Struthio camelus: one gene and its partners. The protein of the gene in region 4 interacts with the protein of the main gene of each other region in a pairwise test. Links are inferred from orthologs where the notes say so. Each region holds a gene or a part of one and is shown on either strand. Other genes may lie near its edges. The genes, in order: PDHX, ECPAS, tyrosine-protein phosphatase non-receptor type 9 and AGTRAP.

The links.
Region 1: the proteins of AGTRAP (region 4) and PDHX interact in binary tests that used the Homo sapiens proteins (3 or more experiments, as listed by UniProt). The two-hybrid records come from large-scale screens. The link is inferred for Struthio camelus from reciprocal best matches to the Homo sapiens genes AGTRAP and PDHX.
Region 2: the proteins of AGTRAP (region 4) and ECPAS interact in binary tests that used the Homo sapiens proteins (3 or more experiments, as listed by UniProt). The two-hybrid records come from large-scale screens. The link is inferred for Struthio camelus from reciprocal best matches to the Homo sapiens genes AGTRAP and ECPAS.
Region 3: the proteins of AGTRAP (region 4) and tyrosine-protein phosphatase non-receptor type 9 interact in binary tests that used the Homo sapiens proteins (3 or more experiments, as listed by UniProt). The two-hybrid records come from large-scale screens. The link is inferred for Struthio camelus from reciprocal best matches to the Homo sapiens genes AGTRAP and PTPN9.

What each region holds. Positions count from the first base shown.
Region 1 is NC_090946.1:34,125,989-34,133,194, reverse strand, and holds the start of PDHX (pyruvate dehydrogenase protein X component, mitochondrial), read right to left. Parts: upstream 3,019-7,206; 5' UTR 2,987-3,018; coding exon 2,845-2,986; intron 2,774-2,844; exon of another isoform or gene 2,560-2,773; intron 405-2,559; exon of another isoform or gene 210-404; intron 1-209. Other genes in the region: APIP (methylthioribulose-1-phosphate dehydratase), read left to right, coding at 3,463-3,495.
Region 2 is NC_090982.1:17,228,114-17,235,004, reverse strand, and holds the start of ECPAS (proteasome adapter and scaffold protein ECM29), read right to left. Parts: upstream 3,012-6,891; 5' UTR 2,888-3,011; coding exon 2,860-2,887; intron 1-2,859. UniProt on the Homo sapiens protein: Adapter/scaffolding protein that binds to the 26S proteasome, motor proteins and other compartment specific proteins. May couple the proteasome to different compartments including endosome, endoplasmic reticulum and centrosome.
Region 3 is NC_090953.1:23,095,376-23,103,056, reverse strand, and holds the start of tyrosine-protein phosphatase non-receptor type 9, read right to left. Parts: upstream 3,011-7,681; 5' UTR 2,968-3,010; coding exon 2,810-2,967; intron 2,550-2,809; coding exon 2,393-2,549; intron 2,049-2,392; exon of another isoform or gene 1,510-2,048; coding exon 1,405-1,509; intron 1,055-1,404; coding exon 958-1,054; intron 278-957; coding exon 180-277; intron 1-179. Other genes in the region: SNX33 (sorting nexin-33), read left to right, coding at 6,072-7,509. UniProt on the Homo sapiens protein: Protein-tyrosine phosphatase that could participate in the transfer of hydrophobic ligands or in functions of the Golgi apparatus.
Region 4 is NC_090962.1:6,801,488-6,809,430, reverse strand, and holds the start of AGTRAP (type-1 angiotensin II receptor-associated protein), read right to left. Parts: upstream 3,017-7,943; 5' UTR 2,904-3,016; coding exon 2,877-2,903; intron 1-2,876. UniProt on the Homo sapiens protein: Appears to be a negative regulator of type-1 angiotensin II receptor-mediated signaling by regulating receptor internalization as well as mechanism of receptor desensitization such as phosphorylation.

The DNA of each region.
Region 1 (7,206 bases), on a different chromosome or scaffold from region 4:
CTGTAACACCAGTACCTCAAGAAATGCACCAGAATGTTGTTTAATGTTTTACAAGTTGTAACAGCAAATGGAGTTGGGGAAGAAAGGCTCAAATCTCACCTGGCATCCAAAATTCTTCCCATAACTCTTTGAGAGAGAGGAAAATATGCAAGGAGATGATCTGCCTAGCAATTTTCTAAAAACAAACTCCTGGGAATAAAAAATGGTACCTTGAAAGGATGTTGCCCTGACCCCATAGGTTGACTTCTATGTAGTTTTCTAAGCATGCAATGAATAAATTTAAATTCCTTTTCTCCATTTAAAACAAACAGGCAAAAAATACATGAAATAAAGCCTCTGAATCCTTCTCCAACTACTTGAAGCATCACTGGTAGAAGAAAAAGATGATGGAGAATCTCCAAGCACTGGAAAAAAAAAAAAAACCCTTAATTTAGGCTGCCTCCTTCTACTTACGTGCTTAACTATACTTACAATTAAGAAAGTAATCAACTGTTCTCAGTCATAAACATCCTTTTTTTTTTTCTTGGCCTTATCCTCAACAGAATATTTTTTACATTTGAAGATTTATTCTCCCATCAATCTTTTTTACCCTCTGGACTCCAACTACTTCAGTTTTTCCTCACTGATGACATTTTCTTGACCCCTCATAATTCTCGCTCCTCTGTCTGAATTCTGTCCAAGCAGCCCATATCTTTCTTGGATACTTCCCAAACAGGCAGCTGAGGAAAAATTTTGTTTGAGGCATTCCGAGTACAAAGTAGAGTGGAAAGAAGACTACCACATGTCCCCTACATGACACTCCTAGCTTTTCCAACCCAATATAATTTTTGCAGCATGATGATGATACAGGCTTGTGCTTAATTTACAATCTACTGTAAAACCCAGATCTCCCTTGCAACATTATGACTGTCATGTCCTATCCTGTAACAGGCATTTCTTTCTATGCTTTGCACACTACTTTTCTCAGGCTGTTCTACCTAATTTGCTATGATCAATTTAAAGTCTAATCCTGTCCTCAAAATACATTTGCAATCTCTCCCATCTCAGATGCATCTCAAATGGAAGGGAAGTATTCATTCCATTATTTAGGCTTCTAACAAAAATGGCAATTAAAACCCAATTCCAGACATGAGGTCCCTGATGGACCTCATGCAATACATCTTTCCAGTTTTACAGTGAACTATAATTATTCCTTGCCTTCCCAACCACTTTGAGCAACCCTACAGAGACTCCTTGAGGCCATGTTTCTATAGCCTGTTTATGAGAAGTATGTAGGAGACAATGCCAAAGCCCTATGAAAAATCAATCTTTCCCAAACAGACAACGCGGTGCCCCAGTACAAAAGGCTGTCAGACTGGTCTGATAAAAAAAGGTTTTGATAGGCCTTCTCAGTGCTTACAAGTCTGGTTCGTTGGTTAACTGCAATCTCTGAAAAGATTCTTCTCTTCACTGGAGAAGACTTGCATATAATTCCTTCTTTCTTTTATTATAAGATAGTGGAAAAGAACAGAGCAGCTTCAGCTTTGTCGTTCAAAATTGCTCAACTACCATCTGACACAATACTCACCTGCCTAAATGACATCTGACTTAACCGAATAACCTTCTCCCTTCACCTAGTCTAGCACCGACCAATAGTTTTGGGCATTGGTGTAACCTTTTTGTAACGGTTTAATTGAAAAAGGAAAGACTTTGATCTTGTGTACGTTTCCTTGTATAACAAACTAACTCTTCTCTCTTGTACTAATTTATTTATAAAATATTTCTTTACTGCATCTACCAGACAAGAATTACATCATTCTGTGCTGTCACCTTTTCGATTTTATTCCTCCTAGTAATTTGACCAGGGTTTCTGCTTTTTGTTTGCTTGCTTGCTTCCTTTCAAAATTACTGATGAGTTATAACTTCTTCCAAATTGACCATTTCTTATGTTTTCTTTTCTTCTTCTATTACATGAAGTCCTCCTTTTCCACATGATTTTTCACATCAGTTAGAGTAAAAAAAGTAGTATCTTTTTCTAAAAATTACTCAATTTTTTTTAAAGCCTAGATGCTATAGTCTTTAATCCTGTTGTCCTAGATGTCATATGGAAATATTTGTCCGGGCTCCTAAGATAATTGGAAAATAAATTATTTAAAATAATACCTAAGCTTGCATTCTGTAGAAACAGACAATAAACCTAACTTTGCCAATAAGAAGGGAATTATTCCCAGCAGATTACAAAGGTGGTACCCTTTAGATTGGGCCACCAAACTAACAGAGAACCTGAGTGTGGCAGCCTTCACCTGGTCTTAGTGTCAAGAAGCCTGCTTTGACAATGAAGCAAAATAGCATTTCAGTGTTAAATGCTAATTTGACCCCTTAACATGCACGGTATGTTTTTGGGGGACTTCTATACTCAACTTCACCCTCTGGGAGAGGAAGGACAAAGAAGGAAGAGTATGAAGCTGGGGACAGAGAGCAAAACACTAAAAACAGAATTTGGGAGCTATACAGCAGGAAAAAACCGTAATAGTTGAAAAACTAGCAATTTTTTTCATCAAAAACCAGAGCAACGCTTACCAGATAATCAGCAAAACGCCCTTGTGCTTGTACCTCCAGAGGCTAGGCCAAGCAGCACCCTGCCAAGCTATCCCATTTCCACAGCCTCTTCCCTCTTTTCCAACAGGACTTCGCTGCTAGTTTTCTCTGCTCACTACACCACCAGGCCCACTCGGCCCTGCCGCCCTACACCTCTTTGCCGAAGGCGGCCCTCTCCTCCAGCAGCCCCGGCCCCCCAGCACCACCGACCCTCCCCCCTCAGGCCTGCAGCAGGCCAACGGCGCAGGGCCCAGCCCAGACACTCACCCCGCAGCTCGTAGGTCCCGTGCAGGAACCTCCAGCCTCCTCGAGCGGGGCGAGAGGCGCCAGCGCCCAGAGCCGGCCGCCTGCCCAGCAGCAGCCGCATCACCCCCCTTCCCCCACCGCCCAGCCACAAGGAGGCCGCCATCTTGCTTCCCTTCGCGGCCCGGCCCGGCCCGGCCCCCCTGCGCCGCCGGGGCTGCCCCACTCGCTGCCTGAGCGGAAAGCGCGGCCGGTCGGGCCCGCCTCGGCCGGACGCGCTCGCAAGCGCGCCCCGCTCCGGCCCGCCTGGCGGCCGGCACAGCGGCGAGCCGGGCTGCCCCCCACCAGCGCCGGCCGCGAGCGCTCCGCCACCCGCCGCCTGGCTCCTGACCGCTCTTAGCGCCCCAGCTGCGCGCAGCCGCCCGCCCCCCCGCAGGCCTCTCCCCCGCCGCCCGCCTGGAGGCGAGGCGCCGAGACCCTCTCCGTCCCGGTCAGCCCCGCCGGGCTGAACGCCGCGCGTTACGGCCTGCGCCGGCCGGTGCCCCGCAGCCAGGGGCAGCGGCAGGGACGCGCTCGGCAGGCGCCCGCGCGGCCTCCCGGCCCCGCAGCGCAAGCCCCGAGAGAGGACCCCAGGCGGGCGCTATGGCCGCCGCCAACGGCCGCGACAGCGCGCAGGTAACGAGAGGGCGGGCGCGGCCGTTGGTGGGGGGGGGCGGGTGCCCTGCCGGCCCCGCCGCGCCGAGCCGTGCTGCCGCCGCATCCCCCTCGGGTCAGCGGGCGCTCCAGAGCAGCGGTTGGTGGTCGCCGTGGCTGAGAGTGTTTTTGCAGCCTTTGCCGTTAGCCATGAGAATTATCAAAGCACGGCTTGCTAGGAAAGAGCGAAAGGATCGGTTCAGTCAGGAAAAGAAAACAGAAACTGAGGAGTAAGTGGAGTTATTTTCCCAGTAGGTGAAATACTGTCACAGAGAGGAAAGGGAAGAAGCTCTTCTTTATGTCCATAGTTATTTGGAGAAGAGATAACGAGCTGAAGTGTCAGCAAGCAAGGTTTAGGTTAGGCAATAGGAAAATATTCTAATTTAGGACAGTGAGACGGATTGTCTGAGGAGTTCGTCACTGCCTGTCACGGTGACGTTGTCCTATTTTGAATAGGCTACAATGGGAGTTTCCAAACCTTCTCAGACCTGCGCCAGACTGTTCTCTCTGTGACTCCACCTTCCCTGTCCCCTTCCTCAGCACCGCCGCACCGTTTCGCACCCTTGGCTGCTGCTCCCAGCCGGCCGGCGCAGCCTCCTCGCTTTGGGGTGTGCGAGTCCGGCACCGACGGGAAGCGTTTCTGCGCAGCCAGCAGCCCTCCGTAGCAGGTGCGGCAGGATGCGAGCTGTCCGCCCCTTCAGGGAGGCTGGCCTAAATGCTCGCCTCTCTCTGCTGGGCTTCCAAAGACCAGGAAGAACGATCCTTCAGGGGCCACAAAATCCCAGCGCCCCTTTAAAGTCTTAAGCTCTTACTTTAGACGCTCGAGAACTGCTCGGTAATCTTCAGCTTTAGAGTCAGTGAAGTTCCCGGGGAGGGGGAGGTAGAGAAGAATGACAACAGCATTTTTTTCCTTTATGTTTCAGAAAGACTATCGATAGTCAGTAATAACCTTCTTACCAGTTTTGTTATTTGCTAGCTATTTGTTGCTTTTGTTTTTCATACTCTGTGAGTGCCCCCTTAACGTGGGATCCTGCTGCTCAACATATTTCTCTAGGAAATACCGTTTCGTGGATACAAATGACTAAGCTGAGCAGCACAGCTGCTAATCACTTGTTATATTTAAAAAGTATTAAAGGTTTTAATTGCTGTAACAAATAAAACTTTAAAGGAAAAAAGGCACACAACAAGTGATAATTTTCAATTGGAGGTCTATACTTGCTGTGAAAGTTTATAGTCTGAGGCTTTTACATGGTGTAGGAATCCTGACCACACTGTTTTCCTGTCCCTCCCTTACAATTATTTCTTTTTTTCTTACCTTTAAAAGTCCTTTCTGAATTGTAAAATCTTTATATGGTGTTGAAGGCATTGCAGAAAACAGACGTTCTTAAAGGATCATTATTTTTACTGCTTTTGTTACTTCATCCCTTTCTGTGCCATGTACAGATTTTAAATAGTAATCTACCAGCTTATTAATGGTACCTTTCTCACTTCAAATATATAGTGCAGAACCATTCATTTTTACCACATCAAACTTTTCAGTGTGTAGCTATTCAAAAGAAACCTCACAGGTTAGTGTGAAATAAGAACTGTATGATTTCATCTATGTAGTCTATGCTTATTTCTCAGAAAATGTATTTCTAAGCACTTTGTGAAGGGGAGGTACGTATTTAAAGGCACTGTTTATTTACCATAATATCTTAAACAGTACAACTATATTGTAGTTCAGTTTCATATCTTGTTGAAAACTATCTCTAAAAGTCTTGCAAATGGGCTCATTCTGCAAATAGCCTGGGTCCACCTTGATTTCCATTACATCAGTTTCACACTGTATTGTTACTGTTATTTTAGGTTTTGTAGTATTAGGTGTATGCACTTGAATAAAAAAGGGGAAAAACAGTTTTCTTTGAATAATGACAGTCTTTCTGTAAAAAAGCAATAATAATTTTATCAAAAGATTTGACTTTGACACCAAAAATATGAATTTTAAGTGAATGCTTTCAGTCAGTTACTCTTTTGAAATTTATCAGCAAACTTGTTTTTCAGAAGAATAATTTGATAGCTGGAAAAAGCAGTCTTTTTTTTTTTTTTTTTAAGCTCATGGAAATTTGTGAAGTTTTCCTTAATACCTAATGTGGAAAAATTAGATGAAAATCGTAAAAGCCAGCTAAATTGTTCATATTGGCTGTATCAGAGAACTAGTGGGCCAGATCCTGAGTTAGAGGTATAAAGAGAGAGAAAACCAATGGCATCTGCATTTTAACTTGCACTCATTTTTTAATTGATTTTCTAATTGAGATTTGGCAAAGAATAATCCTGTTGATTTGCCAGCTGCTTTTATATGTATTCGCTCCTAAGCCTATTCCAGGAAATAGCCTCTTTAGTTATTTTAAAACATGTTAAATAAATAGGTTGTGGTTATGAGTAGTATCTGCTGATCCTGGAAGAGTACTGTTAAATACTGAGGGTTGATTTATAATCCTGGGATTCTTCATAAAAATAGTTGGAACTCCTTAATAATATGTGGGTTTTGTATGCTTTTGATGAAAGCAGCTTCTGAATTTGAACTGTAAAAAAAAACCTTTGTAATGATTTTAAAGTGATTAAAAGCAATCATCTTCTCGCATTAATTATTGTCCAGAATCACCAGTGAGGGAAAATATGAAAGAACTGGAGGAATGTCATAATATAGCTTTTTCATATCTATATACATTCAATAAACAATAGCCATGTAAAACTATTTAACATGAGTTTATTCCATCAAAAGTAGAAGGGAGATAATTTTCTTTGAAATGAAAAGTATCAGTGTAGTACATAAGTTAGAAATACACAGTGATGTTATTTTAAATAAAAGACAAAACAAGATATTGTGGGATTCATAATTTTTATAGCAGGCAAATTTATAAAATAATAATTCTGTATAAATAAATTTGAACCACAAAGTGGGGACCTATAATTTACACACACTATGCACTTTTTCATATTTGTAAACATAAGATACATGCACTAATATTCTCAGAATCACAGTACATTTCAGAGGCATTAGTATTTGAGGAACATTTAGCTAGCCAGAATATTACTCCTTCAGTGAAGGAGAACTGAAAAGGAGTGGTTTCATTTTCAGCTGTGTGAATGGGGAGGAGGCTCAGAATGTTTTCACTCTGAATTTAGAAATCTGTTTATTTCACCTGTTTTTTGTTTTGGATTTTTTCTTTTTCATGTACTATTGTGTGTAGCATTTCATTTGTTTTAAGTAATGTGAATTAGTACAGGTTTATGGTGCTTTAAAAATCTAGCTTCTTGCATAGATTTCTAGGAATGCTGCTTAGAGTCTTGTTTCTGACTTTTGGAATGAATCAACAGGTGATTATTTCGTATTATTAAAAGAGACCCTAAAGAGTAGAAACAAAATCAGAATAGTTAGAAATAACATCTGCAGTGAACGTCAGTTCTTCAGAGATAGTAGCTTCAGAAACAAGTGTCACCGAAGAATATGGTACTACACTCTAAGCTGAAGATGGGAGTATTGATCAGGCTTGATACATATATACAAAGAATTATTTGAGAGTTGTCTGCAATAGTAGGGGACTGTATTTGATGTCATAAGAGTTTTTTCCAAACTAGCTTTTCTAAGCAGAAATTCAGCAACTTTTCATGAAAGCAATATAAGAGGGGTACTATGTTCTGCGTAATTGC
Region 2 (6,891 bases), on a different chromosome or scaffold from region 4:
GTTTCCCCACCTGCTTCCCTCCCCCCTGATTCCTTTAATCAATTTTTTTGATTAAAATCAGGGAAATGAATTCTTTCAATGCCTGGCTTTACTAAGGTAGATAGCTCACTGTTTTTCCTTCTCTTTATCCAAAAAAAAAAAAAATCTGCTCTCAGTTCAGCTGAGTTCAGTTCCATTTCGTGTGTACAGCTCCTTCTCTCCACCTTTACGCAGGATAAAGATTTAGCTCCCTATGCCATTTATAGATGTTCTGCGTAGCATGTCAGTCATTCTGCACTGACCTCTCAGCAATGCTCATTTGTGTAATTGAGTACCACATATAAAATTCACCTTTCTTTTTATGCAAACAGACTCAAGAACTATGAGGGTGGGACATGGCACGCTAACTGTATCTCATAATTTAAATAATTGACACGGGAATATTCTAAGAACTCTAGAGGGACTCTGAGCCCTTAGTAAAACACAGCAGAGGGTGGGACAGCAAAATTCAGTGCATGCAATGGGAATTTATTTTCAGTTCCCCTGGAAACTAAATTCTATTTGACAGAAGAATTGCAGGACTGCTACATTAAACTATTTCCAGAAGTCCGCTTCATAAAAACAACCAACCAACCCCTTTCCCTAACCCTCTCCAATCGTGTGCAAAGAACCATCATTTTGCCCTAGCAGCCCCAACACTTTCTCCAGCAGATCCTATACCAAACAAAGAGTACTGGATACAGCAGTGTTTCAGCTTCACCACCTGGACGACAGGATACGCATTAAAGCAAAAGCTCAAATATAGATTTCAGTCCCTCCTGAGCTAAGCAATTTTTTCTGCTCTGTTCCGGTTGCAGAAGAAAGGATAAAGTTAGGAAATCAAATTGACTTTTATTTATTGGCCCACTACTAAAATAGGAGTTAAATTCTTGTTCAAAAGTTATTAGACTTTGGGATAAACTCTATCTAGTACGACTGCAGCAGCAGACAGGGAGTTAAGATTTGCTGGTGATATCCCTGGTTCTACTAGTAATTCATTATGTGCCTATATGCAAATCATTTAAGGGAGCCTTTACAGAAGAAGGCTAATCATCAGGTTATTCTGCAAGATCTGAGGGGGAAGCCTGGTGGGGGAGAAGTATTTTTCTTTTTTCATCCTCTTCTTCCTTTATCCTGTTCTCCCATTTTACACAAAAGCTAATATAAAAGTTTGAGCAGCATACTGAAATCGAAACTTTTCACAGTATGTCAGATTTAGGATCTCCATTCAAATGGCTGACTACACCCACTGAAGATTACTTTCCATTCCTTTGCATCTGAACTCTTAAAGCTTTAGGGCAAATCTGCTGAACTAGCATTCTCTTCTAAGCTGCCAAACCTTCAATTTTACAGTGCTTTCAAATAAGTTTTCCTCTAAGCGGTAAGCATCCTCATAGGGAGTTTAAGCAGACAGCAAAAAGCTTATCTTTTTGACTGGAGCTACAGACCAAAGCTTCCTATAGCAACGTACACATAAAAAAAAAAAAAAGGGAAAACTAGTGTTCCAATTTAAAATTAGTAATAATTATTATTGTTATTTTGGCAATACGCCTCATCCTAAAGAGGATCAAGCTTATTTTAAAATATGATACAATTTGATTATTTAACAGTTATCAAACAAAGGACAGTAGGTCCACATGGAAGTTGTTCAGTCATGCACTCCTTTACCTGAACTACTTTTTCCATTAGCTTTAATTATTACCTGAAGTTACAGAACCTTCCACTCATTGACAGAGGCAGCGCTAGGAAAAAGCTTTCCTCTCCCTTCAAAAAAAAAAATTTCTTTTTTCCTAACCATTTGAATAAAAACTCCTCTGATCTGAAGTATGGCTGCATACAGCGTGTATAGACACAGCGGACAGCTAACCAGGATGATGTACTCAATAATTCAACAGGAATCTCAACCTCCGGTCATTCTTCCCTTCGGAGCAGTTTAACATAAACGGCTATACAGCAAGAGAGACATGGTTGAGAGCTGATTTTTCGCCACGTCAGATGTGGAGGCTGGGAAGCTAGACGCCACACAGATAAACGTCGAGGACCGGTTTCACCCAGTGGAAACACGTCCGCTTCGAGAAAGCGACAGGAGAGTTTCCTGGATCGCAGCAGGCCTGAGGCCCTGTCGTGGTCACGACTGCAGCGTATCCCAGTTGGCAGCGGAATAAACAGCTTGGGATTTGCGTCCTCAGATTTAAGGACCGAGGTAGGTCATCCCGCCTCGAGACGCTGTGTTTCTGGTGTGACAAGGGACATCCTTCCCCCCCGCCCCAGCGTGCCCGCACCCGAGCTCCTGTCACACCTGACCCGAAGAGCAGAACAAGCGCGTCACCCTGGGGGACGTCAGCAGAAAACAGCAGCAGCAGGCTGCGCGCCGCGCAGCAACGCCTGGGGGCTGACACACGCTCAAAACGGTCGCCGGAGGTGAAGGCCCGAAGGGATAACGCTGCGCTCAGCTGCCAAACCCGCTCCTTCAAAACCGCCACAGGTCCCTTCGCTCGGCTGCCTCGTGCATCCCCTAACTATGCAATCCCCCCCTCCCACCCGCAACCCCGCGCCCTCATCGAAAAACCAGCTCTGCTACGTGACAGGAGAGGCAGCCAGAGCAAAAAACAGCTCTTGAAAACGCCACACGCCACTCCTCCGCAGGCCCGTCCGCCGCCCCTCCCGGCCCCAGGCGGCCGAGCAGCCCCGAAGGGCGACCCAGCGCCCGCACCCGTCCCGGCGGCGGGAGACGAGGTGGGGGGGGGTCACAGCCGACATGACGCCCCGACCCCCCCCCCCCCCAAGCAGCCGCCGCGCCCCCAGCGGCGCCGCCAACGGCCGCGGGCGGCCGCCACTCACTGAGCTCGTCCTGGGCCGCCGCAGCCATGTTGCCCGGCGGGGCAGGCAGGCAGCAGGCGGCGGCCGCGGGAGGAGGAAGGGCCGCTGAGCGGCCGCCGACGGGCCGCTGCGGGGGGAGGCCCCGGGCCGCGCTCCCTCCTCCTCCTCCTCCCTCCTGTGACTCCCCGGCGCCAACCACCACGAGGGGCCGCGGGGGCCCCGGCCGCCGCCGCCGCCGCCGCCGCCCGCTCCCGCCCGCCCGCCAGCTCCGCTCCGCTCGGGGCGGCGGCCCCCGCCCGCCCTGGCCCCCGTCGCGCCCGGGCCGCGCCGAGAGCACTGACCCGAGTCCATGCTGACCTCCATGACGGCCCCGGCGCTGCTCCGCGGCGCTCACGAAGGAGCTGGAGGAGGAGGAGGAAGAGGGCTGAGCGAAGCAGCGCGGCTGACTCTGCCCCCCCCCGTCTGCGGGAGCGGCTCCCAGCAGCCTCAGCACGGCCCGGCCGCTGCGCTGCGCTGCGCTCAGAGCCGGCAGCCTGCGCGGCCCTGCCCACCGCATGGCAGGGGCCGGGGGGCGGCCACAGCCCTGCAGAGGGGCACGGCCCTGCAGGGGGACACGGCCATTAAGTGGGGCACGGCCCTGCAGGGGGACACGGCCGTGCAGCAGGACACGGCCCTGCATGGGGGCACAGCCCTGCAGGGGGACACGGCCATTAAGTGGGGCACAGCCGTGCAGGGGGACACGGCCCTGCAGGGGGGCATGGCCCTGCAGGGGGACACGGTCGTGCAGGGGGACACGGCCCTGCAGTGGGGCGCGGCCGTGCAGGGGGGCACGGCCCTGCAGGGGGGCATGGCCCTGCAGGGGGACAGGGCCGTGCAGGGGGACATGGCCCTGCAGAGGGGCACGGCCTTGCAGGGGGGCACGGCCCTGCAGCGGGATATGGCTCTGCAGTGGGGCACGGCCATGCAGGGGAACACGGCCCTGCAGGGGGACACGGCCCTGCAGCAAGACCTGGCCCTGCAGGGGGGCACGGCCCTGCAGGGGGGTACAGCCCTGCAGGGAGACACGGCCCTGCAGCGGGGCACAGCCAGGCCTGCAGCATGGCTCAGCCCTGTAGCGTGGCACAGCCTTGCCAGGCGTGTGGCACAGCCTGCAGGGTGGCACAGCCCTGGCTGCAGTGGGGCACAACCCTGCCTTGCCAGATGTGTGGCACAGCTCAACCTGAAACACAGCACAGTCCTTTCCACAACGGACCCCTGCTTGCTGGGCTTGTGGCATAGACCTGCCTGCAGCCTTGCTGTGCTGCACCAGAAAGGTGCCGCAGCATGGCACAGCCCTGCGGGGAGCAGAGCAGAGCTTCTCCATGGGTAGTGACTCTAGATGTGAAATATATGATTTTTTTATTATCATAATACCAGAGGCAGATAGAAATGTGCTTTCACTTGCCACAGACTTCAATATACATTTACTCACTTACTGCGAGGTTTTAAACATATCCTACCCATAGCTCACACGATATTGGCTAAAGAACTAGCCACGAGAAACATGAAAATTGCCACAAGATGTCAGTGTCGTACAATATATAGATGATGTCCTAACAAGTGGCCATGCTGCAGAATCTGTAAAACAGGCCATGGACACTGTTACAAACACATCTTTGGGGAAGAGGTGCTGAAAGGAAAGAAGCACAGTCTCAATCAGGAAGGCACCTTTTTAGGAGTCAGAAGGATAGGTGGGAGAAGAACAGTCCACACTGAAGCGCTGCAAGAAATCCAACAGTTACCATCCCTGAGAATAAGGAGGAGAGTTACTAGCGACTTCAGGAATTTCAAGGGTGCATGTTCTGTGATTTAGTATAATAGCCCAACCACTCTATAACTGAGTAAAGAAAAATGCAATACGGATCCCACAACACGGACATGGCTATGGACTTTTTAAGGAAAACGTTAAGTGTATCTCCATCATTGGGACCCATCCACCCCCATGTGGCCCCTCCTATTACATATCCAAGTGGAGAAAGGATATTGGTGGGGACTACGGCAACAAGGTCCTCCCAGTTCCAAGGAATGCCCATTGAATACACAGAGCCGCCACGCTCTCCTATCTTGGATGCCCATGAATTCAACCCCCTTTGACCAGATAGTGTCTGCTTCACTGATGGAAGCACTTGCAAAATGCAGGGTAAATGGCAAGGAATGGCTGACGCTATATGCCAATAAGTGAACAGTGACTGAGCAAACAGAAGGTTCTGCTGAGTTAGCTGAGCTCTCCGCTGTGGTGCTGGCTCTCAGAAATAGCGCACACACTATACACACTGATTCTTTTGCTGTTTGGGCTGGTGCAACACAATGGCTAGCAATTTGGGCAAAACGCAGTTAGCAGAAAGGTCTTTGAGATGGTTGGGGAAGGGAATATTGGGAACAAATACATAGTGTCACTAACTCGTGTTCTACGATTATAGGGTGTGTAGCAGCACACCAGAAAAATTGCACTCTGCTGGCCAAACTGAACAATATGGCTGCCCACTTAAATGCAGCAGGTTTTCCTTCTACCTTGAGAACTGAATGGTGAGGTAAATGGCTGTGTGCACAGCTGGGACACACGGGAGCATATAACCTCTGTCAGCATGCAGCAAGGTGGGGCTGGCTGATTACTAAGCAACAAACAATTCATACAGTGAAAACTTGTGGATTTGGTAATGAAATGAAGGATTATCTTGTCCAAAGTCAACAACAAGCAAACCTTAGGGAAGAAAAAGTCATTTGGGGTACTTGACAAATAGACTGCATTGGACCTGTGATATGTATCTCCAAGGGGTGGAAACTTATTATGATGAGTGTTAAAGTAGTGAGCAGTTCGGGCAATGTTTACCTACACGCACACTGCATCCAGATTGGTGGCTATAGTAGGATGAAACTGGCGGTTTGCTATGCACCCAATGCCACAGAGTCAGATAATGGGTTGCATTTTAAATAGTACAAGAATGGTCTCTCAAGCATGGAGTTAAGTGGACTTTCCATTTACTCCACAGTCCCTTAAATTAATAGTATAGTAAGTAGCAGGATAGAACAGGTTACTTAAAGAACAACTCACGTGGGTTTAACAGTGCTACCAATTGACGATAAAACTTGTGGGAGGCCATGAGAGCCTTAAACTCTCACCATACACCTAGTGGTAGTCTGGTATACAAACGTTTTGAATAGTCCTCTGCATTGAATCAACACCATCCGAGTGCCTTGGACAGCTCAGGTGAGATCGGGTGAGAATTCAACAGCCATCATTCAGAAATTGCTGGGCTACTTTACAACACCTTTAAGGGAAAGGAGCATGGGAAACTATAGACACTTTGGAAGTGAAATTAATCATTACCGAGGCTTGGCTATGATCCAAGACCTAAGTCTTCTTTTTCCCTCCCCAGGAACTACTGACCTCCTGGACGAGTGAGTGAAAGTCATCATTTGACCTACGTACTATGGAAAGTGTCCACAAGGCACAGCCCTGCCTGCAACATGGCACAACTCCATCATCAGTGAACCCTGCCACCCACCTCTGCAGCTGCAGCTTCCTTGGACCCCACTCTGTGATCATCTGTTTGAACTGCACATTGAGACCACAGAGCCACTGCTGCCCAGGAATGACTGCTGGGGATGGCCACATGAGCACACCTTCTCAGGCATCTGCCTCTGATTCTTAGGTAGCTACGGGTTAAGACAGACTGCAAGCAAACATTTAGGAATCTCTCCCCTCTCCCCCTGCCCGTTCTCTTTTTTGGGGATACAGTTGTTATTGCTGAAGTATTATATTCTCCAAAGAAATAAATCTGTATCCTAAGCCACTTTAAATATAAGTTTTGGGGCTGCTGTTACCTGAAGCCTAGGACTGAGGGAGAAAGGGCGTGACCAACACACACCATCTTCTTCAGACCTGATCAGTACCAAATTTAATCACTTTAAGGAATGTATTGACAAGTCTCTAAAACAGGATATCTCTGGAGTATAACTTACAGCAGAAAGTGCAGTGCCTATTTGCCACTTTTTTTAATGCTGACTGCAGAT
Region 3 (7,681 bases), on a different chromosome or scaffold from region 4:
TCCCCAAAAGGTTTGCCCAGTTATTCCAGTAACCGCTGGCCCACAAGCTGTAAAGATGCTGGCATTTAGATGAAAGATTCATCCTTCTGCACAATGGGCTGCATCCAGCTCCGGCTGCAGAGCGGCTCACAGAACAGGTGACAAAAAAGAGACCAGGGCACACGGGAGGGATTCAGTACCTGGCAGTCGTAAACAGGGTGTCCTCTCCAGCACATCACATCCAGGATATAGTACGTCTGCTGCGCCTCATTGTAGATGCAGTCCAAGATGCTGTAAACTGCACACAGACACAGGGAGATCCAGACACGCTCCAGATACTACCAAACCCAAAAGGCAATTTAATTAGATCAAATCTCTCCTGCATTAAACCCTAGCACTGATGGAAGCCTGAGACAGGCAGAGACTCCCTTCTGCTGAACAGAAGGCATGACCACAAAAAGCTTAGCTTTAAGAGCCCCGCAAGCTCAAGAACTTCAATCAAAAGCACATTTCAGAATAAGGCACCTATCCATTGATAAACCCTCCTCAGGGCAAGCAATGCAACTGTATGGGATATTGAGAAAGGCCATCCTCCTTCTTAGCAAGAAAAGCTACACCCTTTAACTTGAGAAACATCAGCACCAAGGGGTCACTGGAAAGATACTGTACACAGCTCTGGTACTTAAAAGGGAGGAAGATGCTGAGGTTTAAGAGCATCAGGTGAGCAGGCAGCTGATAAAAAGTTGTTCTTGTGTAGCATAAAGGTGTCCGAGATCGTCCATGTCTAGTTATCCCCACAGATTCACGAACAGGGCTGAAGCTAATAATCCCTGGCACCAGAAAAGGGTACAGCTCTGCTGGGCCTGCGGGAGCTGGAGGAGCAGCACTGAGCCTGTCATGCAGGCAGACACACACACACACACGGAGAAGCAGGCTTGTTCTCCTTCATCTATTTCAATGGCCTCTTCAGATCATTACCTTTCTCATTTAGCGAATTGTGCCGGTTCCCACCCGGCAGCAGGGACGGGAACCTGTTGACACAGAAGCCACTCTTGGTGTAAGCTGCTGTTGAGCCCTGCAAGGAAGTGGGAGAGAGAAAAGTCAAGGCCAGTCTCCCTGCTCTCATGCCACACGTCTGACTGCACCCAAGGCTTTGAAACCCAGGTCTCCGTTACAACCACCTCCAAGCAGCCTGTCAGAGGAGAGCAGTACTCACCATTAGATACGGCTCTGTTACTACCACATCTCTCAGCGCCCAAATTCTTTCAGTTCAAGGAGAGTTTCAGCCCCACACGGCTCCCACAGCACAAGGCAGGCAAGACACACAGGCCAGCCTTTGGTTTCATGTCATGTTGGCATGATGACGTAACAGACACATACAGGTCCTTTACCAGGTGGTGAGACTTCACCACTGCTCTCTCTTACCTTGGATGCCACAACCAGTGCCCTTCTCCCTGTGGGGCACACCACTACAACCCACTCTTGCTCCAGATCCAAAGGGACATCTACCAGCCACTCAGACAGCATCAGCTGAGGAGAAACCCCCCCAAAAAGGCAGTTAGTAACAGCTCTCCTGAAGTTATGGAAAACTCACAGCTCAAGAACAAAGCAAGAAGGTTTTGACTTGGTTTATACTGGGTGCCACAGAGGCAATGTGTATTGCTCATCACCCTGCAATACAGCACCATAGGAGCATGGCTCCTTCTAACCAACCTGCAAAACAAACTCTTCCCCCAAGCCTTTCTCTTACTTCCCAGCTGCCAGCTGAAATTCAGAGTACAGCACAAGACCCACAGTACTCACTTTTGCATCCCAGTACCTTAATCCCTTTTCCAGCCTCGCTTCAGCCCTTTGTTGTTGTTGTTGTTTTTTAATTATTATTTTAAATATGCAGCAGACCTTAGAGATTGCTAAATAAAGGAGTAAAGGGACTAGACAAGTGAGCCTCTTCAGACCCCTGAGATTTCCTGGCTATGATCACCTGGGAGGCTGTAGGTCTTTTAGAACCAATATAGTGCCAAGGCTAAAAACACCCATCAGTTGAGGTTTCCCTTCCTCTCCAGCTGTACCTGATGGGAGGAGAGATAGAATCTTTAATCAAGTATTGCACAGTGGGACATAAGTGTCTCTAGCAGAGCTGAAATCTCGCAAGGAACCCAGCCAATCCATCTCAGCCTGTCCTCCATTTGAAGACAGCACGTCTCAGAGGAAAGAGAGATGAGTAGTGGTTCTGCACTGAGCACCCAGCTAGGACACACTGCTCTCAGCCCCAACACACCCATCACCTAGAGCACGCCAGACAGGAATATATTCACCGCGACCCCCCACAACGTTAACCTCGCCACGTTCGTCACCTTGCTCAGCACCGCAGCCCCATCCCCACCCTGTCACAGGGATGGGGACAGCTCCTCACCTGATTGGCATAGCGCTTGGGCAGCTTCCGAGGAACATCCACCTCCATCTCCTCCTCATTCGCACCTTCCTCCGCCTCCTCTTCCTCCTCGCTCTCGACTCCTGCCCAGTCATCCTCTGCCAGCCTCCTGGCATGGTTCACGTAGTCGAGCCGCCTCCTGCCGAGGAGAAAACAGTCCTGCTTTGCCTCCGCGGCAGGCGGCCGGGCACTTCCCTGCCCCTCCGCGCTCCTTAGGGGCTGGCTACCCCTCCGCCGCTAGGGAGGGCGGGAGGAGGCGCAGTCCCCGCAACCGCCCCCCGCCCCCGTGAGCCGCGGGACGGACGGACGGAGGGACGGGCTCGCCCCCGCCGCCCGGCCGCGGCCCAGGCCCGGCCCGGCCGCCCCCCTGCCCGCGGCGCGGCCCCGGCGGGCCCTTACGCTCGCTGGAGGCGGAGGAGGCGCTGGCGGCGCTCGGCCTGCCCCAGGCCGCGGCCGCGGGCCTTGTAGGCGGCGAAGCGGGGGTGCGGCGCCGCCGGGCTGTTGGGCGCCGCCGAGACGGCGACGCGGGCCGCCAGCGCCTCGCTCAGCTCCTCCATGGCAACGCCGGCCCGCGCACGCGCACTGCCCGCGCCGCCGCCCGCCCCTTCCGCCCGCGCGCCTGACGCACTTCCGGCCGCGCCGCCGCCCGCCGAGGGACAGGCGGCACCGGGCAGGATGTGGCGGGTCAGGCCGCGCGGGGGCGCGCACAGCCCCGCCCCGCCCCCTGCCGGCCCCGCCCCCTGCCGGCCCCGCCCCGCCCCCTGCCGGCTCCGCCATCAGCCCCAGCGCCGCCATCATCATACGCGCAGCGCCGCCCGCGGCCCCACGGGGCCCCGCCGGCCCCACGGGGCCCTGCCTGCCCCACAGTGCTGCCTATGGCCTCTCTCTGCCTGCCCCACGGGGCCCCGCCCGCCCCACAGCGCCGCCCGCGGCCCCCGCCAGCCCCACGGGGCCCCGCCGGCCCCACAGGGCCCTGCCTGCCCCACAGTGCTGCCTATGGCCTCTCTCTGCCTGCCCCATGGGGCTTTGCCTGCCCCACAGCGCCGCCCGCGGCCCCCGCCAGCCCCACGGAGCCCCGCCGGCCCCACAGCGCTGCCCGCGGCCCCCGCCGGCCCCACGGAGCCCCGCCGACCCCACAGCGCTGCCCTCGGCCCCCGCCGGCCCCACGGGGCCCTGCCTGCCCCACAGCGCAGTCGTCAGCCCCACATCGCTCTGTTGGCCCCACAGAACTGCCCATCGTGCCGCCATCCCCCCACAGCACCTTGCCGGCCCCATAACATCACCCCATAGCACCCTGCCTGCCCCCTAGCACTACCCCTTGACACCCCGCTGGCCCCAAAGCTCTGCCCCACAGCACTGCCCCGTAGCGCCGTCCCTTAGCGCCCTGCCTGCCCCATGACACGCTACCTGCCCCCGGGCCCTGGCCCTGGCCCGGGGGGGGACGTGCTGTGGGTGCCCCCTGGGTGCCTTCGGGGCAGCCACCACCGCCAGTGCCCCCGCGGGCCCTCCGGTCGGGCGTGGGACGGTGGCTCTGGGAAGCAGGCAGTGCCGGGCAGCCCATGGCACAAGGACGAGTGGGGGGCAGGCCCAGCGCCCCACGGCAGACACCCCCCGCGGGTGCGGATGGGGAAGGCTGCCTGCAAAGTGGGAAGGGGAGGACGATGGCGCTGGGAAACGGCAGGGACATTGGGGACATGCGGGACAGGGGCGCCAGGACCCCGGGGGCGGGGACGTTGGGGACATGCGGGACAGGGGTGCTGGGACCCCGGGGGTGGGGATGTTGGGGACATGTGGGACAGGGGTGCTGGGACCCCGGGGGTGGGGATGTTGGGGACATGCGGGACAGGGGCACCAGGACCCCGGGGGCGGGGATGTTGGGGACATGCGGGACAGGGGCGCCAGGACCCCGGGGGCAGGGACGTTGGGGACATGTGGGACAGGGGCACCAGGACCCCGGGGCAGGGACGTTGGGGACATGTGGGACAGGGGCACCAGGACCCCGGGGCAGGGACATGCAGGACATGCAGGCCAGGGGCACTGGGACCCCAAGGCAGGGACGTTGGGGATATCTGGGACAGGGGTGCTGGGACCCCGGGGACGGGGACGTTGGGGACATGTGGGACAGGGGTGCTGGGACCCCGGGGACGGGGACATTGGGGACATGTGGGACAGGGGTGCTGGGACCCTGGGGGCAAGGACGTTAGGGACATGTGGGCCAGGGGCACCAGGACCCCGGGGCAGGGACATGCAGGACATGCGGGCCAGGGGCACTGGGACCCCAAGGCAGGGACGTTGGGGATATCTGGGAGAGGGGTGCTGGGACCCCGGGGACGGGATGTTGGGGACATGTGGGACAGGGGCACCGGGACCCCGGGGGCGGGGACGTCGGGGCCATGCGGGCCGGGGGCGCCGGGCCGGGGAGGCCGGGGCGGCGGCGGCGGCGGCGGCGGCGGGGGCGGCGGCGGCGGGGCCCCGCCGGGCCGGCGCCTGCAGAGGGCAGCGTGCGACCTGCCGGGCCCTGCCCGCCGCCGCCGGGCCGCAAACCGGGGAGCTGGGCGCTGCCGCACGGCACGGCGGGCTGCGGCGAGCCCGGCACCGGCACCGGCAGCGGCAGCGGGCGACGGGCAGCGGCAGCAGAAGCGGCACCGACACCGGGCAGCGGCAGCGCAGCCCGGGCGGCGGCGGCGGCGGCGGCGGCGGCGGCGGCGGCGGCGGCGGCGGCGGCGGCGGCGGGGCCCCGGGAGCCCGTGCCCGGCCATGCGCTGAGGGCGGCCCCGCGGCCCGCCGTCCCCGCTCCGCAGCGGCCGCGCAGCGCGCACCGGGCACCGGGCGGCGGAGACCGCGGCGGCGGCGGGACCGGCGCCGCCAGCTGCCCCGGCCGGGCTGGGCTCGCTGCTCCCCCTTTTCCTTCTGCGCCCGCCCGCCCGCCCGTCCGTCCGTCCGTCCGTCCGTCCGTCCCACTAGAGGTCTGCGGATTTCGTGAGAAAAAAAAAAAAAAAAGGCCTCCCGGAAAGGAATTGCAAAATACTTGTGCTGGGATCACCGGGAGGTTGTGTTGTGTTTGGGTTTGCTTCCCGGCGATTTCCAGGCGCCCGCTGACTCCGAGCTGCGCTGGATTTCCTCGCTGGGAAGTGAATTTGTGTATTTTAAACACGGATCTCGAAGAAGAGTCCTGTGAAAGTCACTTTGGATTTCCTAATTTGGATCAAGATCTTTTCTTAACGTAAGTTAAAACCAAGACGGCGGCGGGACCAACGACCCAGCAAGATAAAAGCTCCGGGGAAATGGCAGACTTCGGGATGTCTGTTTGTCCGGCCGAGGTTTATATCACGTAGAAGGAGGGAGTGGAACGAAACATGTTTTTTGGTTGCCCAAGGAATGTTTTCTTAAATTGGTGCACTTAGATCGCTGGAGTTACTTGAATGTACAGACCTTGGTGTCAGATGTTAGAGGATTTATATCTTTTTTATTTCTGTGTGAAATCGGCTAAGCCTTTTCCCACAGCTCGGTAGCAGGTCCCAAGCCACTGAAGTGCGTGACGGCTGGGTCTAGCAGCGACCCTTGGACTATCTGGAGGTATTGTTGTTGGTTTATTGTTTTTTTTGTTGTTGTTGTTTTTTTGCTGCGGGGATTGAGTTACACCGTCCCCCTGGGAACGGCCATGGCGTTGAAAGCCAGAGCACTTTACAATTTCCAGAGCGAAAACAAAGAGGAAATCAGCATCCAGGAGAACGAGGAGCTCGTGATCTTCAGCGAGAACTCCCTGGATGGGTGGTTACAGGGTAAAAACAGCCGCGGAGAGACAGGCCTCTTCCCTGCCTCCTATGTCGAAATCCTCCGGTCCAGGTCAGGCTCCAATTATACGGACTATTCTCACAGCCCCGCCGGCTCCCCTGGGCACGACTCCTCCTTCTACGTGGCTCCGACCAACCCCAGTGTCTCCTACCAGGGCAGTTTTGAGGACGACGATGACGACGACTGGGATGACTGGGATGATGCCTGCACAGTGGTGGAGGAGCCTCGGAGCACTCCAGGCACCAATGGGCACCCTTCGCCCACGCTGCAGTACCCCACGGCTTACTCGCACCAGCACGCCGGCTACCGCCCCAAGCCGGCGCTGGAGAGGCAGGACAGCATGAGCTCCTCCAAGAGGGGCAGCGTGGTGGGGAGGAACCTCAACCGCTTCTCCTGCTTCGTCCGCTCTGGGGTGGAAGCCTTCATCCTGGGCGATGTGCCTCTGATGTCCAAGATCGCAGAGGTGTACTGCATTGAGATGGGCTCCAAAGGCCCCCAGTGGCGGGCGAATCCCCACCCCTTCATCTGCTCCGTGGAGGACCCAACCAAGCAAACCAAATTCAAAGGCATCAAGAGCTACATCTCCTACAAGCTGACCCCCAGCAACATCAACTCTCCCGTCTACCGGCGGTACAAGCACTTTGACTGGCTGTACAACCGCCTCCTGCACAAGTTCACGGTGATCTCGGTGCCCCACCTGCCTGAGAAGCAGGCCACCGGCCGCTTTGAGGAGGACTTCATTGAGAAGCGCAAACGGCGGCTGATCTTGTGGATGGACCACATGACCAGCCACCCCGTCCTCTCCCAGTATGAGGGCTTCCAGCACTTCCTCTGCTGCCGCGATGAGAAGCAGTGGAAGCTGGGCAAACGGCGGGCAGAGAAGGACGAGATGGTGGGGGCCAGCTTCCTGCTCACCCTCCAGATCCCCACGGAGCACCAGGACCTGCAGGACGTGGAGGACCGTGTGGATGCCTTCAAGGCTTTCAGCAAGAAGATGGACGACAGCGTCCTGCAGCTGACCAACGTGGCCTCGGAGCTGGTGCGCAAGCACGTGGGGGGTTTCCGCAAGGAGTTCCAGAAGCTCGGCAATGCTTTCCAAGCCATCAGCTACTCCTTCCACATGGACCCCCCGTACAGCTCAGACGCCCTCAACAACGCCATCTCCCACACGGGCAAGACGTACGAGACCGTGGGGGAGATGTTTGCTGAGCAGCCCAAGAACGACCTGTTCCTCATGCTGGACACTCTCTCTTTGTACCAGGGGCTCCTCTCCAACTTCCCGGACATCATCCACCTCCAGAAAGGTAAGAGGGCTGCCACGCTCTCCGGGGAGCGCGTCCGTCTCCCTCGGAGGGTCGGCCCCAGCCTGGTGCTTGCTGGGGGCGGCTCCACGGCCCCTGCCCCCTGCGATGGCCCCAGGCAGTCGAGGGGGCTGCGGGTGGGAGCAGCGCGGGGAGGAGGACGGGGACCGCAGCC
Region 4 (7,943 bases):
ATGATTAAAAGCATCCCATTGGAAACTGAGGAGAGCTGAAGGGAATTCCTGGCTCCTCCACAAATCCCAGCATGTGATGGAACTAATTGGCAAGCATAAAAGACACTTGGTCTGTCTGGTTCCGGTTGGATGGGAAATTCTTTGGAATGGGACCTCCCTCTTTCAAACATGCCTCAGCACAGAACCTTCAAGCATAAGGTTGAATTTTGCCCAAATTAAAATGCCATGATTCCAAATGACAATTCTTTTCTTTTATTATCTGCCTCTTTCTTGCAAGTGAGCTCATCTACTCTATGAATTGCTTACATTCATCTGAGGATGCACTAACCCAAAAATAGATCCGAGTGGCCACTTGTGAGTGAACTCCTTAGGTCCTCTCATTATTATCCCATAGTGCACAGTTTCATACCCAGACTAACCACAACCTGAAGGATGTTTGTTGAGCACACTGAGCCAGATTCTTCTTAGAGATGCCCAAAGAAAGAACAAGAGGCAAAAAAAAAAGCAGTTACAGCAAGGGAAATTTCAGCTGGATACAAGGATAAAATTCATAATGAGAGTGGTTAGGCACTGGAACAGGCTATCCAGGGAAGTTGTAGAGGCTCTGTCCTTGGAGATGTTTAAAACTGAGCTAAATTTTGAGTTGAGCAATTTGATCTAACTCAGAAGTTAGCTTTGCTTGGAGCAGGAGGCTGACCTAGATGACAAGCAAAGCTAACTTCTGAGTTTGCTGACTATTACTACGCGAGCTGAGCCAGTAGATGTTCTTCCATGAGAATGTTCCTCATCTGCTCCAGGAAAAAGCCTGCTACATCAATTTTTTAGTTCTGCGTGTAGCCTGAAGAGAGGCCTTAAGGCTAAGACATTGCTGTGTTCTGGCACAAACACAGCTCAGTCATACCGTTTTCTTGGAGCTACTTCTATCATGAGGCTTATCTTTCTAATCTCTCAGAAACTCTAAGCAGATCATTCTGATGAATAGCAGTGGTGTGTGTTGTTTTCAGTCCCTTTCTGAATAAGGCCCTTCCCCATCTTGGCGATCTGTTTCAGAGAAGCAGCCCCCAACTCAGGGACAAGACAAAGATGCAGGTACAATTATTAACCCACTACTCCCTAGCCCTCAGACCAGTACCAGCAGACTTTAAAACAAGGAATTGCTTAATGCTGAAAACCATTTGCCCAGGACAAGTTTGCTCTTATCTAGGAAGAGATTTGGGACTGGTTATATGAAACCAGAGGAAAAGCAACATTTTGGTTATGTTGTCATGGTGGCTCCTTCATTCAAGAAGTATGTCTGTATTTCAGCTCCCGTGTCTCTGTCTCCCGTGGTGAATCATTTATTTCATTGGTAAACCTTTTAATTAGATGTCCTTGCTTTTCACTGTTGTTTTAGCATAGAAAAAAAAAAAACTGAAACAAGTTATAAACAAAGCAGAAAACAAGATCTTTTAATCTTCCTAGTGCCCAGGGAATCACCCAATAGTCCAAATTTCCCAGAGCAAAATATCAGTTGGTTTCCAGAATGCAATATAATCTACATGCCAAGCCTTGAAAAATCCATTTGCTTACTTGCCCCAGGAAAATTGCTTTTCTTGGTGACCTAGTAAGAGTGTAAAGCCATGAATATATGAACTCCAAACTTTCATTTTGAACAGCCACATTAAAGTCTTGTTATACAAAGTTGAATTCTTAAGGGTAGCTGAGACAGTACTGCTCTCCCCACCTGTAGGCAGCCAGCTCCAAGGCCACTGCTCACAGCTTTATGAATCAATAGCAGAAAAAAAAGAAAAGAAAAAAAAAAAAACCCCACAGATGAGATCAGCAATGCTTTCAGTCTTCGTTTGGTCAAAGTTATAACCAAAGAAAGCCCCTGAAACTTGCCGCACCAAGCAACACATGTAAACTAGGGAACCTGGAAAAAGGCACGTACACATCTAGAAGTCTCAGAGCTCTGAAAATATGGTAGAAGGAGGAAAAAAAGGAGGAAATTTTCTTCTGAGTGGTATCAGGGAAGGCTTCAATTTCAAACAGCAACATGAAAAGCAAAAAAAAAAGATTTTCGCCTCCCCTAGCTTATGGATAAGGATGTACTTCTTGCCAAAGTGAAAAGTCTAATATACCTTTGAGAAGTCCCTTATTTTCCATGCCTTTGGTTAACAGATATCCAGTGAAAAATTCAAATTACCTCCGTTCCCTGCCCCCCAAAAGAAACCAGAAAAGCAATTTCAGTTATCTACCAGAGGATAACCCCGAAGCAAATGGGATCATCTTTCCAAGATATCTTGCCTGACAAGCAAAAGCTTTGCCTCCTCAGGATCTTGTGTAGTGTTTATCCTAGATTAACCCCGGTCAGCTGAGCTAGGAACCTCTGTGGACACAAGTTAGTTCAGTTGTTGTCGTCCCAACCCAGTCCTTGGCCACTTTAGCAAACTGCCCTGAAGCAAAAGTGAACCTTGGGGTCACTGCCTGACAGTCTTAATGACTAAGAGTTTTTGCAACGTTTACCCTGGTGATGAAAAAGATTTAGAAGTACCAGTTATTCCTCCACACGGAGACTTCCACTTCTCCTGACCGAGCCTGAAGCGGGCACAAAGCTGGCCATCGGCCAGGCAGGCCGGGCCATGGCCCGCTCTCCGGGGACGCCAACCAGCTCCCTAGTCCTCCCATTCGAGGACTTCAACCGAGACCCTCGCAGCCCTCCCCGCTCCTCACTGCGGAGCCCTCCGCCGGCCCTCGGCCCGCCCTGGGCACCTCCCGGGCGTGCAGGGCTCGGAGACGCGGGACGCGGCGCGGGCAGACCGCCCCTCGGCCGGGGCGACCCTGCCCCGCGGGGGGCAGCCGGCACTGGCTCTGCCCAACGCCCCCGCGACCCCTACCTTGAGGCTGACAGCAGGCAGCTCCATGGCAGCGGCCCGCCCGCTCGCCCCGTGACTCCCAGCGGCGGGGCCGCCTCACGTGGGGCTGGGCCGGGCCCCGCCGCCGCCACGGGCTGGTCTCGGGCCGCCCAGGGGAGGGCAGAGGGGCGGGAGGAGCCGGGACGGCGCCTCGCCTCGCCTCGCCCGACGGGGGCGTCCGTCAGCATCCGGCCGACCCCAGGCCCACTGCAGGCCCTCTAGACTTCCCCTGCGGGGGGCTCCCTGGGCCCTGGCGGCCCTTCCTCACGTCAGGAGGATGGCAGGCCGAGGCCCTGCCATGAACTGTGCCCTCTGCCCCGGCCAGCGAAATGGGACCTCTCAGTCGCCCCTTGCACACCCTCAGCTGAGATACTGCCATCCCCAGCGCTATCTGGTGCGACAGCCCTTTAGCAGTAATAAAAGTTTGGGTTTGAAAGTGAAGATGTGGTGTGAGAGCGGGACTGGGCCCTGCAGGGCACTCCAAGGACAGCAGTGATGTTTCCATGCCCTGCTTTGTGCATTGTCTGTTATTGATGTTGCCCGAAAAGCTTCCAGAGTAGGCCACCTTCACTTGCAAGCCAAACATGAATATGCATTTGGGCTATGCTGTAGTGTCCATAGGAGTTTAAAATGTCCAGTTTCTCCTGACTGCTTCACCTCACCTCAGAGCTGTCATGCAGTTTGAGGAAGGTGTCTGAGGAGCAGGAGCCTTAACTGAATTAGCCTGAGACTCGGCAAAACCAGGACATTTCCAGTAAAGAGACAGCAAGTTTCATTAATCATGAAGGCATTTAATAAATACATCAGATGCTCTCATCTCAGCAGAATGTGTGGCAAAGGGCATACTTAAGTATTCCAGGGACACTATGACTCTGCAGGCTTTTCACATGTAAAACTGTACTGCTGTTAACACTAGTAGTCAGGGAAAGTCCGTGGTGCTCATACCTTAAGGAATCTAGGACAATCGAAACAGTAGAAAACAGGGACGTTTTCCCAGGACATCCTATTTCATTAAATTTATTTGCTGCTATCTGATACGTATTGCACAGCACCTGCAACACCGAGGAGAAAAAGCCATCACTAGGTTAGAAGGGTAATGGGATCACTTTGTTTGTTAACGCCAAACATCCAAGCAAACAGCTCTTGCTACTTACAGAAGCAGTGCAGCTGTGGGAAGGTGTAACAGCATATTTGGGCTGTAGTCAGGGTCCCAAAAGGCTAAAGTGTATTTAGTGCTTAGCAGCTTTCTGGAGGAAAAGAAAGCTCTTGTGCACACATCAGTAGTGTGACCAAAAGACAGTAAGTGTGGGGAGTGGAAAAGAGGTCTTAAACACTACCACCACCAAAAAAAAAATTGCAAGATGTTTGTTGCACTCAGCTGTATCATACAACAAAGCAGCCATGTTCAACTCAATTTGATTGTCCTTTGGGGTTGAGTGCTTGAGTCTCTAGCCCTGTGGCTAGAATGGCTAGCAGATACTTAGTTGCATCCCTTGGCCCTTTTGATTTTTCCCTAGAACTAGATCACTGAATTCTTTCCTAATGCAATTTCCTCCTCCTGCAACTTCAAAGCAGAACAGTCTATGCCAAGAGGATTTGGGGAGTGGGGAGGATTACACTAAGGTGTGCTCTTGACAGACACGCTTGAAAGTCCTTTCTGATCCCAATAAGGGAGAGCTGCCTCGTACAAAACAGGCATTCTTCCATTGTCATTCTGAAAGAAGACTATTCCCATTTTAGAATTCCTGCCCAGTTCATAGTACCATTCTTTTCCCCAGGTATGACAAAGGAACTAATAACACCAAGAAGCCGGGCTGACTCCTTTTCAAACCCTGCCTTCCTTGCCCAGTGTATACTTTACCTGTCTGCCGTGTCCATCCACAATGCATTACTGGATCAGGTGCTTTCTTGTCGTCATTCAGGTGTGCTCATTATTTATTCTAGCAGAAAAGATGGGGCCACTGAGGAATGAGCAAGGAGTCAGAAGTTCATTGCAGAGGCTGAATATGTGAATCATCGTTCAATCCCATTTCTAGTTCAAGCAGTGCAGTGCAAGATTATGCATATGAGTGATGCAATGCTGAACCTGTGTTCACAGTTCATCAGGCAAAGCACGAATGTAGCTCTATCCAGGCTGTCCTTCACTGCATACTGAGTCCCATTGACTGCTAATACACAGCACACTGAGATTTCCCAAGACAAAGTACTAAATGGCAAACTGAATCAACTCAGAAAATGGTAACCAGAAGTGCCAGAAGAGAACTGATTAGCTGCATAGCAGCTAAACAGCAGGAAAAAAAAGCTGTAAAAGTGCACCCAAAATCTCTAGTTGTACCACTTTACCAGATGAAAGACTGAAAAATAATTCATCTATTGCCACATCCCCCAATAGCTGTGACTTTCTTTCCATTTCTGTACCTTGCAGGGAAGCCCTGCCTCCACTCACAGAAGTAGTGGTGTCAAATGGGATCAATAATAATGCTCCCAGTGATGCCAAGGACTGTATTTTACCCTAAATGGCAAAAAGAAGTTGTGGCACCTAAAAAAAAGATAAAGAGAGACTTTGAATAGCCTTATTGCTGCCTCAATGCTTGGGTGAAAACAGCAATAGGAATGCCCTTCCACCAGGACAGGTATCTAGCAAAGGAATAATGTTGTTATAAAGACAAATTCCACTGTCATGCTGCAGCCTAGTTTAAGTATAAGCACTGTTTAGATGCAGCAGTAAGTGGGCGTCTTTGCTCCTTTCAACGTGTTCACTCAGTCTGAGTGAGACAGAGAGTCTCATTATCATTTATACAGCGCGAGCCATAATTTGGATTGATGTGACTGCTGTTTAATGCAAAGCATTCGTTTCCCCTTGTACAATAAAAGCACTTTACTTCATTTTGTTCATCAATGTATTGTGCAATTAATTCAGCCCTGCTTATTATATCCTGGGCTTGCATGTCGTGGACTCGAGGGACTCAGAAGTGTCTTCATGATCTCATGGATATGAAAACAATGAGAACTGTGACAGACATTATGCATTTGCACGTCTCTCACACCTATCTGATCGGGGGGATTTATTGTTTTTTATCTCTGCTTTGCTTTGCTTGTACCTTGTAAATTGTCTGTCTGTGTAATCTGCTGCCTCTTTCCCTTCCCTAGGCTTGATAATTCAGAGCAACATAAATATGGTGCGAAAGACAAGCAGCGAGATAAAGAAGAAGACCTGCAGCGAGAAATAGATGACCCAGGAGACTGGAAAGACGATATGGAGATTTTCCTGAGTAGCAGACTTGTCAAGTGAGTTCAGCTGAGTACAACTAATATAATATCCATTGTATAGCTGGTTCGTCAAGTATATTGGTGATATGCCTTCTGCAGGGTGGGTAAAAACCTATTACACAGCTGGCTCCCTTCGTGACAGCATAAAAAGGAGGCAAAGAAGGCAGAAGTGCTTTCCTTTGTGTCTTCAGGACACTGTAGTTTTGATGTACAAAGTTACAGCAGTTCTGTAGGGCAGCAGCAGAGCTGATACAGTTGCCCCTGCTGTCCCTATCTGGCCTGTGGAGATTGAGACAAGCTCACCCCTCATAGTTCTGCCCTTCTTGTCCCTCACTCAGGCTCTAATCTGAAGGTAACTGAAGACTGCCGATGACACTGGTATCTTTGAGTTGTGCCCTTGTCTCGAGAGCTGAGAGCAATGAAGGCACTCGCCCTGCACAAATGCGTGTATTATCTATAGAGCCTTTCTGAATAAGAAGCGAGGAAGGACATACAGAAGTTGTCCTGGCTCTGCAAACTCTCTCTGAGATCCCAGTGGGAAATCAGCAAGCAGAAACATTATCATTAGGACTGGAGGGGAAAGTGAAGGCATTTTGTAATGCTGGTGGGGAACCTCCTCCTGCAGCTTCACTGCAGAACAGTCTATGGCAAGATGATTTGAGGAGTGGGGAGGGTTACACTAAGGTGTGATCTTGACAAACATGAAAGTCTTTTCTGATATCATCAGGGAAGAGCTGCTCTTCTGATTTTCTAAAATCTAACTAGAGCTTTGAGAGGTAATTGAGGGACTACTTTTCAAGATTTGCTGGCGCTCTAGAAAATGAATTGAGATAGCAGAAATGGGTTTTAGGGGTGCATGTGATCACTCAGAACATTCCAAGAAAACAACAGCCCTCGTTGTTTCTGATAAAACACATGAACAGCAATGTTTTCTCCAGGCTTTATGCAGTAGAAACTCTGACTGGCATGGACTGGAACAATTTATTATAGCATGGGTTTGAAACTGAAGCACTTCTCCACACTGTGGATTGACAACAGGGTAATTAGCTGGGGGGGGGGGGAGGAGAGACAGTTTCAGTAAGACAACCCCCAAGCTAAAATGAATGCAGACTATTACAGACCTGAGACAGAGTGATTCCCAAGTGTTTTAATTTGTGCTTCCCCTCCTTATCTTGCTTGCACTCATCATTTTGGCAACTGCCAGCAATATTCCTGAGATTCAGCTGCATTCACAGAGCAGGCAGCTGCTGAGATAATTATGTCAAATCAGCACGCTGTCCTCTCGTTTCCATGTCTAATGACTCTCACCCTTGGAGAAGTGGCTCAGAACGATGCATGCCCTTTGGATTTATTGTGAGGCTGCTAACAGCAGTGACTCCAGAGCAGGAGTTTGGGTGGGGCTCGGTCACTCACCTTACTTATGTGCATGCCCTGTAATTAACTCTCAGAATTATTCCACAGAGCCCTGCTGTAGCTGGTTTGGGCCTGATCCAAAGTCCTTTCAAGACAATAGAAAACCTTGCAAAAGCTCTGGATTAAGCTCTCTGGGGACAGCAGAGAAGCTGAGCTTGTGTGGATGCTTAATTTCATGAGAGTTTCTCCAACAATCATTTGAGAAGAACATACAAATCAGGACTTGCATGACATTGATCTCCCTCTCTCTTATTCAGAGCTAAGGCCTCTAAAGGCAGAACTATCTGTCACTGACTGCACTGCAACTGGGAGATAGTGGGAAGGAAGGGTAAAGTTGCTAAATGCAACCCAGTGATAGTATCACTC